3 linked regions of the Oryctolagus cuniculus genome follow. The protein of the gene in region 1 interacts with the protein of each later gene in a biochemical or structural test. Links are inferred from orthologs where the notes say so. Each region holds a gene or a part of one and is shown on either strand. Other genes may lie near its edges.

The links. The genes of interacting proteins can lie anywhere in the genome.
Region 2: the proteins of RUFY1 (region 1) and RAB4A form a complex in vitro, tested with the Homo sapiens proteins (2 studies listed by BioGRID). The link is inferred for Oryctolagus cuniculus from reciprocal best matches to the Homo sapiens genes RUFY1 and RAB4A.
Region 3: the proteins of RUFY1 (region 1) and RAB14 form a complex in vitro, tested with the Homo sapiens proteins (2 studies listed by BioGRID). The link is inferred for Oryctolagus cuniculus from reciprocal best matches to the Homo sapiens genes RUFY1 and RAB14.

The regions. Positions count from the first base shown.
Region 1 is NC_091437.1:67,898,641-67,904,572, forward strand, and holds part of RUFY1 (RUN and FYVE domain-containing protein 1), read right to left. Parts: intron 5,098-5,932; coding exon 4,996-5,097; intron 3,727-4,995; coding exon 3,610-3,726; intron 2,952-3,609; coding exon 2,784-2,951; intron 1-2,783. UniProt on the Homo sapiens protein: Activating adapter involved in cargo sorting from early/recycling endosomes. Regulates retrieval of proteins from endosomes to the trans-Golgi network through interaction with the dynein-dynactin complex.
Region 2 is NC_091444.1:90,077,918-90,083,849, forward strand, and holds part of RAB4A (ras-related protein Rab-4A), read left to right. Parts: intron 1-7; coding exon 8-88; intron 89-1,980; coding exon 1,981-2,095; intron 2,096-4,380; coding exon 4,381-4,443; intron 4,444-5,585; coding exon 5,586-5,740; intron 5,741-5,932. UniProt on the Homo sapiens protein: The small GTPases Rab are key regulators of intracellular membrane trafficking, from the formation of transport vesicles to their fusion with membranes.
Region 3 is NC_091432.1:225,175,101-225,180,221, reverse strand, and holds part of RAB14 (ras-related protein Rab-14), read left to right. Parts: intron 1-2,823; coding exon 2,824-2,911; intron 2,912-3,235; coding exon 3,236-3,266; intron 3,267-4,240; coding exon 4,241-4,418; 3' UTR 4,419-5,121.

The DNA.
Region 1 (5,932 bases):
CAGGGCTCCCTGTGGGGAGCAACTGAGACTAGACTAAGTTACTGGAATTAAGACTTATTCTATGCATCTGCTCTCCCACAATATGGCGCTGAGGGAGCAAACAACCTCTACGCAGCTGCCTCATCAGTTTGATAAGCTGCAGGAGCTGATCCTGCTCCTGACTGGAGGAGAGCAGCGTGCTCGGCGTGTGGGTAGCAGAGTTGGGATTGGTGGAAGAGGACTATAAAGGAGGAGAGAGACAACATGCACCAGGAACATCTGAAGGAACACCTGAGGAACATCTGAGCAGCCCCCGAGAGAGCCAGCCGGCGGTGTGCCGCTCTTCCACGGAAGCGGGGAAAGCGGCAGGGGGTGCCGCCCCTCCACGGAGGTGGAGGGGCCGGCAGCTAACCCTGGACGGCGTCATTCCTCCATGAATGAGGGAACGGCAGCTAACCCGGGAAGGGCCGAGCAGATAAAAGAACAGCGCAGGGTCTAGTGTCGTTCCTCCGCAAAGAGGGGGAGCGACAGCTCCCAGCTGCCAACAGAAAGAAAGGCAAAGAGGAAGGTACGACCTTTGCTGCTCCTTGACAAGGGCCTTGAGTCAGGTCCCCAACTGTCCCCAGCTGCCAGGCCCATGCAACTAAGCCCCTGCAGGATTCTCCAGGGAGGCGCTGTCAGCCTCACCCTAGGACACCTCACCTCCCTAGGACAGATGGAGGCCCAGGAAGAGGAAGCAATGGGCTGCAGGTAGAAAGCTCGCGGGGGCGTGATTGTTCCCGTCCACGCCTGTACGACTCTCTGAGTCCAGGCCTTTAGCCAGACCAGACACCAAGTGCCCAGGAGGGAGCTCTCTATTCCTGGGCGCTTACAATGAAAGGATGTAGCAACCGACCTTAAGGAGATACACTATAATAGAATACACTACAGTAGAGAATAGCTTCAAAACCACCTCATATCTGCCAACTAAACAACCTATTTCCAAAAACCGCTGAGCTGAGAAAACAGACCGGGGGCAAGCAGTTGGCCCAGGGGAAATCAGTTAGGACACCCACTTCCCATATCAGAGTGTCTGGGTTCGGAGCCTCACTCCACTGCAGACTCCCGTTTTCCTGCTAATGCACACCCTGGGCGGCAGCAGGTGATGGCTCCAGTAAACCACATGGGAGACAGGGACTGAGTTGCTGCCTCTGGCTGTGGACTAGCTCAGCCTCAGCTAACAGGGGCATGTGGGAAGTGAACCAGTAGATGAGAAATCTCTCTCTCTCCCTGCTTTTCTTTTTATTTTTTGACAGGCAGAGTTAGACAGTGAGAGAGAGAGAGAGAGAAAGGTCTTCCTTTTCCGTTGGTTCACCCCTCAGTGGCCGGTGTGTTGTGGCCAGTGTGCTGCGCCGATCTGAAGCCAGGAGCCAGGTGCTTCCTGCTGGTCTCCCATGCGGGTGCAGGGCCCAAGCACTTGGGCCATCCTCCACTGCACTCCCTGGCCACAGCAGAGAGCTGGACTGGAAGAGGAGCAGCCGGGACAGAACTGGCGCCCCAACCGGGACTAGAATTCGGTGTGCCGGCGCTGCAGGCAGAGGATTAGCCTAGTGAGCCGCGGTGCCGGCCCTCCCTGCTTTTCAAACAAAGGTAAAAACAAGACCAGGCTGGAGAACTGTCCAGAGACTATAACTGAGGCAAGTGCATTGTCGCAGGAGTTAGGTGAGGAACTACTGCCCGTGGGACGGATGGGGATGGGAAGTGGTGTGTGCGACCCCTCTCTCACTGCGCCGCTGGGAGCACGCTCTGGCTCTGGACTCCTGTGTTTCTCCCTCTCCAGTGGGAAGAATGGGAGAGCGAGAGCTGCCTAGGTAGCTGAATGGCTGTGAGGAGTGACACTGAGTACTTCCGTGCAACTACTCAGTCACGGAGACGCAGGCTTCCCTTCTGTAGCCGGTCTGCTAAGTCACAACGGCGGCGTAGCTTACCCTAACTAACAGCACGTTTACATACGGGCTCCAAGCAGAGGAAACCAGGAGCACTTCACGTAGACGATTTGTCATGAGGGGAAACCTGCTCCTCCTTTCCCCCTTGTGGTATTTAAATTTTCTTTGTTGCTGGTATAATACTGATTATCATTCAAGTCAAGTCAAACTGAACCCGGTTTATTACACTGTCTGCCCTCATGCCATCTTTGGTGAGAGTCAGCCTACGTCCATGGAAAATGCAGCATTTTGGGAATGTTTTGGGAATGAAACAGGAAGCAGAACTTCAAGGACAAGCTTGAGAAGGACGCAGGATGGTGCCCCGAGTGGCCTCTGGGTAAGGAAGCGTCACCAGTTTTGATGCCGTGAGTGTCTTTCACTCATGACATGCCAGAGGGCCGAGACCAGGCCTGACATACTAGAGGTGCACAGATGTGCTGGGCCACTCACGTGGCAGGAAGAGTGAAGCAGGACTGTAGAGGGGCAGGCACTGTGGCATAGCAGGTAAAGCCGCTGCCTGCGATGCTGGCATACCATACAGGTGCCGATTCCAGTTCCGGCTCCTCCACTTCTGATCCAGTTCCCTGCTAACGGCCAGAGAAAGACAGTGCAAGATGGCCCAAGTGCTTGGAACCCCTGCACCCATGTGGAAGACCCAGATGAAACTCCTAGCTCCTGGCTTCGGCCTGGCCCAGCCTTAGCCACTGTGGCCATCTGGGGAGTGAACCAGTGGATGGAAGATGTCTGTCTCTTCCTTTCTCTCTAACATTTTCAAAATAAATCTTTTCTTTTTTTAAAGGCTATAGAAAGCAGCAGGGAAGACACGGAGCCAGCTCCCACCTGAACTTTGTGAAACATCTGTAAATTAATTGCTTTGACTTCTTCCAGTTGCTGGCGGAGGGCGACGAGGGTGTCCTGCTTCTCGTGGGTATCCTTCTCCAGTAACTTCATTGCAATTTCCATCTCCGTTTTCATTCCTATTTGTAATTCCAGTTCTTTTTCTAGTTCCTTAAGAGGATATTTACAAGGAAGATGTTAAACCACAGCAGGGTATTACTTGAGGTTGTATGGTGGGCAACGTCTCAAAGACAAACCACAAGTCAGGACAGCTGGGGAGATGGACAAGAGTCTGTAGCACAGTTAGATGGCACAGTCCATGGTCAAGCTGACAGAGCTGCTCAGTGGCACTGGCTGCCTAGAGCTCCAGCACCCACATTCTCCCCACGGTGTACAAGGATGTCTGTCGTGGGCTTCGGTGCTGGCAGCAACTGGCTGTTTCGCGATGGTAGAACTTCTGGGACGGTTGCTAGGTGATGGCACCAGAGTGCAACCGTTTGTCCTGGACAGCTCAGGACACACTTCCCGCACCATGCAGGTGTGAGAAGTATGTGTAGTAAAGAACCTTGGTCGCAGACACACAGTGCGTGGAAATACGCGGACCTAGGGCTCGGACTGAGGGAACAGTTCTGTCACAGAAACCACGAGTCTGGTCAAGGCAACCCCTGAAAACAGGACTGCAGAATGGGGGAAAAGGTGTCTGAGTGACAACGCAGCACTGAGCCGTAAACACACAGGGCTTCCCACGGAGAATGGGCAGCTCCCGCCTCCCCACGGCACAGGGCCGCGGGCTCCCGCAGCGCCCCCCAGACCCGCCACCTCCGCTCACCAGTCGGATCCGCTTCTCCTCCTTGAGCTGCTTCCACACGTCGCTGTACATTTCATCCAGGCCTTGCCGGGTCTGCTTGTAGGTCTCCAGCTCCACTCTGGTATCTTGTTTTGTCATCTGTATCAAACAATACCCAGAGCAACCGTTTGCTTCCAAAAGCTAGCTACAAAGTATTTTAAAAACAGACCAACATTTTTTAAAAAGAGAGATAATTTCTATTTTTAAGCATGACAGAGATATAAAATCTTGACAATATTTGAACTTGGAGATAAAGGATGAGAGCAGCCAAGAGATGCTTGAAAGGTCCTGGTCACGTTCACAGTCACTTAGAGCTGATGTTCTTTATGACAGAATAATAGTCCTTAGTGGGAAAGGCCTTCTCCTAATGGGTCACTTAGTGTTTACTGACCGTACTTTGATCTAGCCCTGGGAGGATTTAGAGGGAACTCAGACATGCTGAGACTTAGCTGCAAGCCAGGAATTCTACAAACAGTAACCGGGTTCTGTACCGGAGGGAGGTAAAAGAGCTACGGGAACATGGGAGAGGGGATGCCTAGGCCCACCACCGTGCCGAGGGTGGTGGTACAGGAGTCTGCATGTGAGCAGATGTTGAAAAGTGAACAGGAAGTGTGGCTTGCAGAGGTCCAGAGTGGAGGCGTCCACATAGACCAAGAGGGACGTGGGCTAGGCCCCTCACATGTTATGAGCACTGAGTCAGTACTGTACTACAGCTGACCTGCTGTGTCTGCACAGGTTTTACATTTGTGGATTCAACCAACCACAAATTGAAAACATTCAGGGAAAACAAATGAATATGCATAATTTACTTGTCATTATTCTCTAAATAGTACAACTTAACAACCACTCACATACATTTAATTATATAAGGTATTATAAGTAACCTAGAGATGATTTTAAAACATTATTTATTTATTTATTGAGATGCAGATTCACAGAGCTGGCTCCCGTCCACTCCCCAAATATCTGAAATGGCCCCCCGCTGGGGCCAAATATGGGCACTGGGAACTCAGTCCTGCTCTCTCATGTGCAAGGAAGAAAGCCAAGTCAACTGAACCATTACTGCATTAGCAGGAAGCTGCAGTCAGGAGCCAGAGCCAGGAATTAAACCTAGGGAATGCAACGTGGGCTGTGGGCATCCTAAAGGCGAGGGCAAAGGCCCATCCCTACAGCCGACTTAGAGTAGATAAGGATTTCCTTGGTTCCATGCCTTTGCTATGCCACTGTATACAAGGACGGGACCATGTACAGATTTTGGTATCCCCAGGGACCCAGGAACCAATCCCTCAAGGGCTACTGAGCTCAAGACTGGCACCGGGTGTATCTGAGAGAAAGACAGGCCGCCTGGCTGCGAGGCCAGGCTCTCACCTCCACACTCTTCTCACTTCTTTCACGGATCAATTCATTTTGTTCTCTTAACTGCTGCTGCTCTTCTTCAAGTGAGCAAATCCGGTCAGTTGCCGCTGAAAGCTGATTAGGGAAGATTTTGACATTTCTTAACATCAGCATTTATCTTACTATGCTAATTAAAAACTAACATTATTTGGCGTCTTCACTATTTATGATGCATGTTCACGTGTCTGACGTTTTATTTCCTTGTTTTGAATGGGTAAGACACGGTTCAAAATTCCAAAGACCAAAAAATACATGCTGTAAATACTCCGGCCCTCCCCTCGCCAGCTCTGCCTCCCTAGGCTCGCTCTCTCTGGCAAAATCGACCATGAGCTACTTAATACAGGCAGTGGTTCACGGACACACAAAACCAGAAACAGTCTGAGTCTACTGCGAGAGAAGTGGTTCAAGAAATTACAGTTCATAAATACTTGAAGGCTTTTAACAACCCAGGATGCAACACGGACAGGGAGCGCAGGTGGGTTACATGGTATGCTCTCACTTGTAATTAAAACATCCACCAGGTTGAAGATGCTTAAGAAATGATGGAGCTGTGTAACAGATAAATGACATGACAGGCGTGACACAGCAGAGCTCAGCACAGGGATTATGGCTTTTTTTGTTTTGTTTTTCTGATTCTCCATTCCTTTCAGGTTTTCTAGTCAACATTTTATCACTGAGAGGGAATTAAAGTGGGGGCGTGTGAGGGGATGGGTAAAAAGACACCATTCAAGACCAGCGCTAGAGGAAGCCTTCCTTCCTCGAATGAGCTGCTGTGGTTTAGGGACAGGATGCTTTCCCCAGCCTGGCTGAGGACAGAATGTCAGGAGAGGTGGGGAGAGCAGCCGCCCCAGCCACCCCAGGACACAGCCTGCAAGGGCAGGGGGGCTGGAGAAGGGGCCGGAAGCAGGAC
Region 2 (5,932 bases), on another chromosome or scaffold:
CTTTCAGATTTTTTGTTTAAGTTCTTGGTTATTGGAAACGCGGGAACTGGCAAATCTTGCTTACTTCATCAGTTCATTGAAAAAAAATGTAAGTGATATCCACAGCTGGTGCTCTGCGCATGTCTTCTGAGAGTCTCACTCAGATTTGTTTAGAATAAAACTTGGGAATTTTTTTCAGGAAAGAAAACTCATTGTTTAAAAGTACTCTTAAATGTCACAGGTTACGTGTTGAAACTTTTGGTAATGTGAGTTTTTCTTAAGTTAGCATTTCAATTTAATAGCGACCCAATTCGTGGTTACTCCTACCATACATTTTTCAGATGCTAAGAGTTAAAGTGATGTTGAGGACAGCAGAGGCCTGATAGCACGGCCAGAGGAACCGTAGAGTCCAGAGTGGATCAAGTAACAGCATTTGGTCCACACCGCGTCCTCGTCCTATGGTTAAGGTGGTTACTGTCATGGGGTCTGTTTCACAAGCCAGGAGGCAGGTGGAAAGGAGCTTGTCCCCTGGTAATTGGCGCCATCTTGACCACAGAGCCAGTCTTTGGTCATTTGTGAGCACCGTCTGGGTAAGGGCACCCTGGGAAGATTGTACAAAGACTGCAGGTTTGAAAGGCCCTTCAAATAACCAGTGCTGCTACATAATGGAAAGAATTGTGGAGTGTAGTGGCCATTGGGTGAAGACTGAAAAGCAGAATTAGTATGACTTAGCAAGGCACATCTGAAGCAAGTGCGGGAAATAGCTCAAGCGGTGAGTCAAGAGGTGAAGTTTGTGTAGTTTATTCTGCTGCTCCCCTTATCAACCGAGAGCTTGTTGGTGCGTCCGCTGAATGACAGGGACCGAGCCTGTGTTAGTCACAGAACCCGTCCTCCCAAATTCAGCAGGCACCGTGCACCAGCCAGTCCACCTTTCTTTCCAAGTATACCAGGACTTTGCATTGTAGCGGCTCTGAAAATGCCCAGAGGAAATTAGGCCAGGGACCAGACTTGGGGGGGCAGTCTGTCCACCTCGGCCTCCCCTGGAGGGGCCTCCTCTGGAGTATCCTCCCCTGAATCCTCCCCACCCATGGTGGCGTGAGAGGCGGCACTTCATTTCTCATGGCCGTGTCGTAATGAGGATGCCCCTTTCGCCACAGGTGTTGCCTGGTAGCTTATTCTAGCGGGTTCTCTGCCAGCTGTGTGTGAGACAGACTGACAGTCTGCATACCATTGGGTCTCCCACACCTCAGGAAGCAGCGTACGATTGCCAAGGGCAGCCCCATTCCCAGGACAATTCCATTGTATTCTGTAGGTATAAAATGCCAACTAGTCAGTAGCTGTGGTGTGAGCGTAGCTTATCCCGCCACCATCACAGGAGACTCTCAGAGACAGTGCATGCCAGTGGGGCTCCATGAAACCCTTACCCTGCCTGTCTCCCACACAGACCGTTGTCCTACAGCACGAAAACTCAGCACCTGTAGATGCACAGGGTGGTGTTTTGGGGGTCTGTTTGGAGAGTTTGGGGCCTTCATTTCTTTCCTTCTTTTCTCATAATCTTGGTATCTATCGTGTTTCCTTGTAGGCTTCAGTACTTTTCCTTCCGTTTATGTTTTATTGCTTTGGAATATTATCTATTCAGATAGTTGAAACCGTCATCACCCCATTATTTGCCAAATGCCCTGCCTGTCAGTGGGCTTAGAGTCCACTGACAGGGCAGTGGGCGTCGGTGAGTTCCCTAACGGTAACAGTTGGGTCTGGACGTGGCACGGCCACTTCCAGGCCGAGGCTTTGAGGTGTGATGTGTTTAAAGAGTCTGAGGTTAGGGACTGCGTGTGCTCTGTTTAAACCATGAATGCGTCTTGCCTGCCGACAGCTGGAGAAAGGAACGGCTGTCGTAAATTCCATTTTCCAGTGATTTCATTGTTACTTATATAAATCCTTAAGCCTGTTAATGTTAATGCTCTAAAGTTAAATATCACTGTCTTTGTTTTTCTTTTTTAGTCAAAGATGACTCAAATCATACAATAGGAGTGGAATTTGGTTCAAAGATAATAAATGTTGGTGGTAAATATGTAAAGTTACAGATATGGGATACTGCAGGACAAGAACGATTCAGGTAGCTGTTTCTCTAATTTAATAAAAATACTTGAAAATTGGATTTTAAATCACTAATTATTTTCTCTCAGTGTATGGGGTCTCACCCCACCGATACCCTCTTCTCTGCCCCCTCCCACACTGCACAGCCCCTCCCCGCCACGTGCACGTGTGTGCACACGCACACACACCCACACACTCTCTCACATTGATTTCAGAAATGTCCCTTCTGGAAGCTGTCGCAGACGAGACAGCGGGAATTCAGCTGAGCTCTGTGCAGCACTGGTTTGCTGAGGAGTGCAGCAGAATCTCCGAGTGACTGCCTGGTGGCTCAAAGGCAGACCACCCTCGGGAGGACGTGGTGCTCTGCATTGTGTAGAGTGCTCTTCGATGACAGGCGAGGCAAGGCAGCAGCTCAGGCTATTGTCTGCATTCCCTTCCACAGAGGACTCTTTCTGAAACCTCTTGTGACAATTCTGTTTGTTTATTAGCCAGACGTAGTCCCATGGTTGATACCCATCCCACAAGACAGCCTCTCTTTTGCTGTGCTACAGGCGTGACGCACGTCTAGAATGAGGACTTCGGCTCACTGCACGATGAGGCCACGGCTTCCTGTTCTGCAGTCAGTAAACCAAGAAAATCGATTCATGTTTTGGTTGTTTTTTGCACAGACACACTGAGACAAAATAGAGCAGATAGCATAGTTTCAAGATTCAGAGGGGTGAAACTCACCCCCACTGCAAACGGTTCATCCAAGCCACATTGGATAATATTAAATGCTTCACAAACACTGTCCCGGTCTTTAACCACCAGCTGCCTCTGGAAGCACTGATTACCGTGGTAGATGCCATCCCGTCATCCCCTTCTCAGAACCCCACCCAAACCACTGAGTCCCAGAAAAGGCCAGGACAGGAAGCGCTGGGCTCCACGAAGAAGCTGAAGTGTTTGTACCATGCAAGGTGGGAGGCGCAGTCTCTGAGTTCACACAGGGTCTCAGCTTGACCTGCTGGGCTAGCGGGGTGTCCAGCTCCCCCAGTACCTGGGGACAAATTCAGCCTCAAAAACTATAATTTTTCCAAGAGTTGCAAGTCCTTTTTATCTTTTTATTGAGCGACAAACTGAGTGAGGCAAAGATAGTTCCTGAATTAATTGGTTTAATGCAAGGCACACAAAAGCAAAATTAGCAAAAAGAATGTGTGAAAAGATAGGGAAAAGAAAAGGATTGGAGCACCTGTGCCTCCTCCGAGGAAATTCTCCAGGTGGTCTGGAGGGAGAAGCCCCTGACCCACACTGTCTCGTCTGCATGTGGGCACACGGCTGTCCATGTGGCTCTCCGTGTGTGTGTGTGTGGTGCTGGTGCGATTGGGACAGATCTTCACACAGTCCGTGTCAAGTGTGAGAAATAGGACTCAGCTGACAGGCGAGTGTGCAGGGGCACCCAGGGGTGGCGGGTAGATAGATAGGTGTGCGGATGACTTGCCTTAGACACTGGGTAGGTGAGGTGGTGCTGCCCCTTCCCAGGCCTGGGCCAGAGTGGGCTAGAGAGAGAGAGTTGTGTCTCACAGATGGCAAGTGTGACGTAGAGAGCCACAGCTGGATCTTACGGAAGTAGTCTGAGGTACAGAGAAAATTTTTCACTCAATGGTTAGTAGAATAGGAAACCCAGGCCCCAGCCAGACTGAGCCGGGACTGGGCTGGGAGCACAGAAATGCCCACTGGCTTCCGCTCCTCGGAGGCACCTAGCTGGGCGCCCATCAGGCTGGGCTGGAGAAGCAGCAGGGAAGAAAACTCCCGAGAAATCGGGGCGTGGGGAGGGCTGACCGTGGACAGGAGCTGCAAGGCTGTTCTGCTTTTTTCTTTTTTAGATGGGAAGTGGCAGAGCCGGTCTTGTTTCACTCCAGCAGAGAGAGAGGGGTGCAGGCACTGAGGCGGGTGAAGCAGTGTTCTCTTTTAGTCACGGGAAGGGGAATGAAGTTGAGCCCAGGGCAACGGGCACTGGATGCCGGGTTCCCTTCTTACCCCAGGAAGAGGTGGAGGGGGCTGCCTTCCACCTGCTGGCACCTCCCCCTCCTCCACTCAGAGCCGGCCCTTGATTGGACCGTGCTCCTTGTCCCGCCCCCCATTCCAACCCCTGTCATTTCTGGGACAGGATTTCAGACTGAGTAACTCCTCGCACGCACATGCAGGGCTCTCTGAGTCGGTCCTGTTTGAACTGTGGTTTTAGAAAACAGAAGTAGGGTTTGTTTTTCTTTTTCCCCCACGGGAGAGGCCCAGCTGGTTGAAAGTGAAACCGTGTGATTGTTTCAGGTCGGTGACGAGGAGCTACTACAGAGGCGCGGCCGGGGCTCTGCTGGTCTACGACATCACCAGGTAATGACGCCCGCCATCCTCAGGAGGAGGCCGGTCCTGGCAAGGTTCCCCCCGTGCAGTGTGGCCGGCATCCAGGGAGCCCCTTCCCTTTGGGACCAGCCCCTTCCCTTTGGGACCAGCCCCTCCCGCTGCTTCACCACGTCTGCAAGGTGCTGGATAGGGAGAGCTGCGCTTCCTGTTTCATGGTGTTTTGTGCCATGACACTAGGACACTTGGCATGCAGCTGTCTGGGTGGCCAGTCACCGCAAGTGACCTGACAGAGAGGGGAGACTCAGCCTTGGGCTCAGGGTGCTTGGCTCCTGGTCCCAGTGCCACTCTCCAGCTGTGTGAACGCCACAGGCAAGGCACTTCAGCTATGTGGATCTCAGCTTCCTTGTCCAAAATGGGGCGGTGAGAGCCTTGTGAGCCACTGGGGTTTAGGGGAGGTTTAAATTAGATAATAGTACTCACGTGGTAGCTGCTAGCCACGTAGGGTAATTCAATGGAAAATTTATTCAGTTCCCTGGTGGCACTGGCCACATTCCTTGGCCTCAGAAGCCACATGTGGCTGGTCACTATGCATCCAACTGTGCTGACGCTAGAGCATTCCTGTCCCTGAAGACATCCCATCCCACAACACTGGTCTCTGTGTTTGCAAGCATTGCCTTCGAAGTACAAGGAACCTAAAGGCTGTCATTTGGGAGTCCCTTTGTTAGGAACCTGTGGGGTGGGATGGTGTCACCCAGCCACTCCCCGCTCCGGTACGCTCTGAGGGAGGCGGGCAGAGTGGGACAGACCTGGTCGAGTCCTGGACTTGCCATTGGCCGCCGTGTGATTTTGGACAACCCTACCAAGCTGAGATGAAATCTTGCTGTGCCTTGCACATGCTAAGTGCTCAGTGAGTGTCTGTAAACCAAAGGGAAGAACTTGTGTCCTCTCCCAGCGTGACTGGGCAGACCAAACCAGCAGATGCCCAAGGTGCCGGGTCAAAGTGATAGAGAGATGGCACCTACCCGGCGCGTTCAGGTTGTCTGAGTTACCATCAAGGGATTGTTGCCATTTCTCTGCAATGTTGAAGAGTGGCGTGAGCGGTGAGAGTGACTGGAAAGAGTTGCTAGTTTCATAAAATACTTGTATTATTCTCGCAATCTTATGTTACGCAGCCGAGAAACCTACAATGCGCTTACTAATTGGTTAACAGATGCCAGAATGCTAGCGAGCCAGAGCATCGTGATCATCCTGTGCGGGAACAAGAGGGACCTGGATGCCGAGCGCGAGGTCACCTTCCTGGAAGCCTCCAGGTTCGCCCAGGAAAATGGCAAGTGACGCTTTTACCTCTCCTGGCCTTTCCAGCACTGGCTTTGGTGATGTGCACCTCTTTGAGTCTAAGACATCTCTCTGCATTTCCAGATTAAATGGAAATACTTTAGGACATGTAGAATTTCTGATTGTTTTCACTGCACATTTAGACTGCATTTCACGTATTTCCTGTATATTTATTGCCTTCTGC
Region 3 (5,121 bases), on another chromosome or scaffold:
GAATGTTCATAATGGCTTTATCTGCAAAAGTCAAGGACTGGAAATCCATCTTGGCCTTGGACAACTGAATGGTTGAACAGTCTGATATATTCACACTGTGGAATACTACTCAGCAATTCGTAGGGATGAATTATTGATAACATGGAAACTATATGGATCTCGGAGCCATTGTGCTGCATATGAAAAGCCAATTTCAAAAGGTTACCTACTCTGTGATTCCATTTATAGAATATTTTCAATATGATGGAATTGTAGAGATGAGAACAGGAGAGAGGATAGAGATTAGTGGTTGCCAGGGGTTAGTAATAGGGATAGAGGGTTGGAGTGGTGTGACTGTGATGAGAGTGCCACAGAGCAATTCCTTTGTAGTGATGGGACATTTCAGTATCTCAATTGTGGTAACACAAATCTGTACCTATGATAAAATTGAATAGAGCTACACAGGAGCACATGTATGCGAGTGTGTAAAAACTGTGAAATCTTTGTAAGAGCTGTAGTTTGTACACATGTCCATTTCCTGGATTTGAGAGTGCTCTACATTTAAGTTGCTGCTATTGGTCAGGTTATATGACCTCTGTATTTTTTGTAAGCTTCCATGAGTCTACGATTGTTCAAATAAAATGTTAAAAACAAAAAACTGACCGTAGATGTTCCATGGAATATAGTAAAAAAAATTCACTGTGTCCTCCTGCCTCATTTTGCCCTTTGTAATCCTCAGAAGGAAAACCCAGAAAATCCTTTCTTTAAGGTCCTGCACAAGCGGTTAGGTTTTCTGTAGAGTTGCTTTGGCTTTCTGTGTAGAAGCTGTGTGCTTTCTCATGTTGTCAATGTCTTCTGTACCTCTGTGTTGCTAGCATGTAATTTTATGTCTCTCCTTTCAGGAGATAGGATGCCCAGTATAGAAATTCATAAGGAATTTGGAAAGGAAGCAGTATTTCTTGTTTTGAGTCCCGTGCCATAATGACCCTGTACTATTGTTAACTTTACCAGGCTTTTAAAAAAATTGATTACTTCTTTAATTGTCATTTCTTTATTTTTTAAAAGACTAGTAGACTATAATATGAACATTCTTTCTCTTCTTAGTGGACATTTCTACATGCTAGTTGAAGAGTATTCACTTGTACTACCTAACTGATCTCCTTGCAAAAGGTTTACATTCAGATCAAAATGGTTGTTTGGTTAATTGGACAAAAATGGAAGAGCCTTTTTTTTTTTTTTTTTTTTTTTTTTGACAGGCAGAGTGGACAGTGAGAGAGCGAGACAGAGAAAAAGGTCTTCCTTTGCCGTTGGTTCACCCTCCAATGGCTGCCGTGGCTGGCGCGCTGTGGCCGGCGCACCGCGCTGATCCGATGGCAGGAGCCAGGTACTTATCCTGGTCTCCCATGGGGTGCAAGGCCCAAGTACTGCACTCCCGGGCCATGGCAGAGAGCTGGCCTGGAAGAGGGGCACCCGGGACAGAATCCGGCGCCCCGACCGGGACTAGAACCCGGTGTGCCGGCGCCGCAAGGTGGAGGATTAGCATAGTGAACCGTGGCGCCGGCCGAGCCATTTTTTCATATGAAAAAAAAAACATTAATGGGAAAGTACCTTTTAGTTGAAGCTATCCTTTCCTAAAGTGTCTATATCTGGATTCCTGTATCCGGAAGGGGAAGTATTACCAGTTGTCAAAACAAGTACATGTGCTGGATGTCTCTATGTAAAGTGTACAGCCTACCCCCAGCCCCTAGTAAATTCATAAGGAGTTGGAGAGGAGGGAAGTATCTGAGTGTTTCCCAAGGTTACTTGCTTTTTCCTTAGAACTTTGCAGAGCTTCCCTTAACTTTAGCCTGTCTTCCCTGTAGAGATGATTCCAGAGTAGACACAGGTATGTGTTATTTTGTCTTGGATTTGAACTCATCCTATAAGGTCCCCATCTTCTACCCCTAGTAGTTTCCCTTTCCCTGATACACGCAGGCATTTGTTACCAGTTGCTACAAACTTGGTCCTGCCTATGGAAGCTGTGGGGTAGCACAGCATTTCTCTGAGGCCACCATTTAGGTTTCTGCCGAACTAGGAAAAGTCCTCCTACCACCAGCTTAGTAAGAGGCCTTTAGGATGTTGCTGTGCCTTTGAGCTGTCATTTCCTCCCCAGTACTTTAGGTAGTTCTTAAAATTTTCGGAGCTTCCCAGAACCTTTTGAAAATCGGGTGGAACCCATGAACCTTTTCCCCCGGGGGATGTCCATGTTTATAAAGCATTTTGCACTTCACTTCAGGGCAGTCACAGATCCCCTGGAGCTTGGTCATAGACCCCTAGTAATCTTCCTTAGATAAGTCATACTTTTTGGCCTATATAAGATGAAGCTTTATTATCTGGCCCCCAGACGGTTTTTGAATGGCTTGCTAAGTAAGGATGATTTTTATGTTTTTAAAGAATAAAAACCCCAAAAATACAGCCAAGAAGGATATGCAAAGAGACTGTGGGGCCCACCAACCTGAAAAATAGACTCTGCTCTTTACAGAAAGTTTGTCACCTCTTTGCATGGAGGGTTGTCTAGGTTCTTCTTAGTACTTAATGACTTTATGGTTCTGTAGTCCTTCCTGGTGGGTAATTGCTTTCAAAAAGTTAATGGAATAAACTGATGGATCTAAAAAAATTTTTTGCATTAAAATATTTAATTTTTAATTCCATTTTCCCTTGAAGTTTTTGAAGTACCCCCAGACTTGTTTTACATTTAAAAAGGCCCAGGTGGTTTTCTGTCCAGAATTTTAGATTTCACAATTTGAATGATTGACTTAAATGGTTGCTTTGTTTTAAGATGTCTTTCTTTTGATCACAAATTAGGTAATAATTCTCATAGGAAATAAAGCAGACTTGGAAGCACAGAGAGATGTTACATATGAAGAAGCCAAACAGTTTGCTGAAGAAAACGGTGGGTTTCCTTTAAGACTTAATGGTCACATTTGGGAGAATTGCTAAGGAAAGGTGGGATTTTGTTATTGCAGATTGACAGTTTTTTTAAAAAATGGAAAAAATCTCAAGAATGAAGAAATGTATTTCTGTGAGATTCATATCAGGAGTAGTACAATTAATGACAGATAATGATGCTGCCCCCTTATACTCCCTCTTTCATAAAATGCCGTGTTAGTGAGAGTATTGATAGCTGATAGATAGGCAGCTTCTGGTCAGATGTTACTGAAGAGAATGCCCTGGTGAGTTTGAAGTGTCCTCATTATAGTCTGAATTTTATTTTTAGGCTTATTGTTCCTTGAAGCAAGTGCAAAAACGTAAGTATGGCTAAAATACAGATGTTTCAGTTATATTTTAGCTTCTGAGTGTAAAACCATGTTTATCAAAGTATATAATATAATTGTTCATTTACTGTATAATACATAAATGTGCAGTGCTGTGGCAAGAAAAATATTGAGCAGACATTTCTACTTCCTGTTTCGTATTTCAAAATAATACTGAGTTTTTCTACTTGTAATATTGGACCTTGATTATGCCATTGGTAAAACCAGGTTAATCAGTGAGACCATGTTTACATTCCAGAAGTGTTTGACTTTCACAACCGAGCTGGTTTGGCATCTCAGACCCAAGCTTGGCCAACTTGCTGGTAGTATTTTACCTCAGAGATCCCGTTGAAAAGCATGACTTAGGGAAATACTTAGTGTCTGATCAAAAGCATGATGAATTGTTTTTCCATGTCAGCTGTGGAACTCCAGTTCTACATTATTCCAGTCATTGATCTTCAGTTATCAGACCTCCGATTCCTTGCAGTGGTAGTGAGAGGCTTGGCTTTTTTTGTTTAGCATTATCTGTAGTGTGATCTCTAAGAGAACTGAAGTGTGCACAGTGCTCAGTGTGAACATGTCACCATTACATACAAACAGCACAGTTCACGTTTGGCTGATCAGATCCTGCAGATCCCAGAATCCTGTTCAGCATGTACAGATTCCATTTCTCTAATCTCAGCTGTCCTGTCATCTAGTAACAAATAGTATTGTAATGACTAGAGCACATACGCCTATCCAGCTAGAGGTCTGCAGAATAGCTCTTAGAACGATGCTTATGTGTTTTCCACAGGAAATATTTTCCCATGTTGTTCTCTTAGCTCAGGCTTCTGGTAATCTCTTACCAGACAGTGGCTAAATTGAAGACACCATGGCACTTGACTAAAGGTTAGCAAAAGGGCAGTGTATAAAGTCTTATTTTAGTAGAAAGCAGTGGTTCTCGAATAAAGTTGTCACTTGCCTCTTAGGGGAGAGAATGTAGAAGATGCTTTCCTGGAGGCTGCCAAGAAAATCTATCAGAACATTCAGGACGGAAGCCTGGATCTGAATGCTGCCGAGTCCGGTGTACAACACAAACCCTCAGCCCCGCAGGGAGGCCGGCTAACCAGTGAGCCCCAACCCCAGAGAGAAGGCTGTGGCTGCTAGTGACCTCTTTGCTCTGGCCTCTCATTTGACCTTTCACCTCTGTCTGTTGGAAGCAGTACTTTTTACTGCCTCGTTGTCTTCTGTACATCTTACTGGGTTTAATTAAAAAACAAAACAAAACTCTGTTGTAAAAACAGTTTAACACAATACTAAACTGCTAAACAACTAGATGTAATCAGGTTATCAAAGGCAAGTAGAGTAATAAATCTCTCCTGCATGGTGAATCTAGACTTTTTCCCCCTTGATTGTCCTTGTGATAGCTCTGTCACCAATATGATTTAAACTGAGCACTGATGCTGGACTTCAATGATTTCGACCCTCCCTTTTTGGCAAGGCTTCGTCTTACTGTATGGTTTAATTTGATGATATCTTAAGCCTTCTCCCCATCTTGAACTGTTCAAGTATGTCTGGTGTAACCAATAAGTTTATCGCTGTGAAGTGACTGCTGATGGCAGAGAAGGGGTTCAGTAACTGCTTCTGTTTTGTTTTTGTTGGATAAATTCCCTGTTGTGTGGGTGGTATTTTTCTTGATGAGGTTTGCTTCTGTCTTAGCCTTGCACGGGGAAAAATATTCATTTATCTTTTTCTCTTGTGCTTAATTAATAGCTTTATCCTTTTTTTACATTATTTTATCCTTTCTCTTTAACAGAAAGTAAATATGTATAAAATTCGAAGGAACCGAACTAACAATACGTTCTTTGTA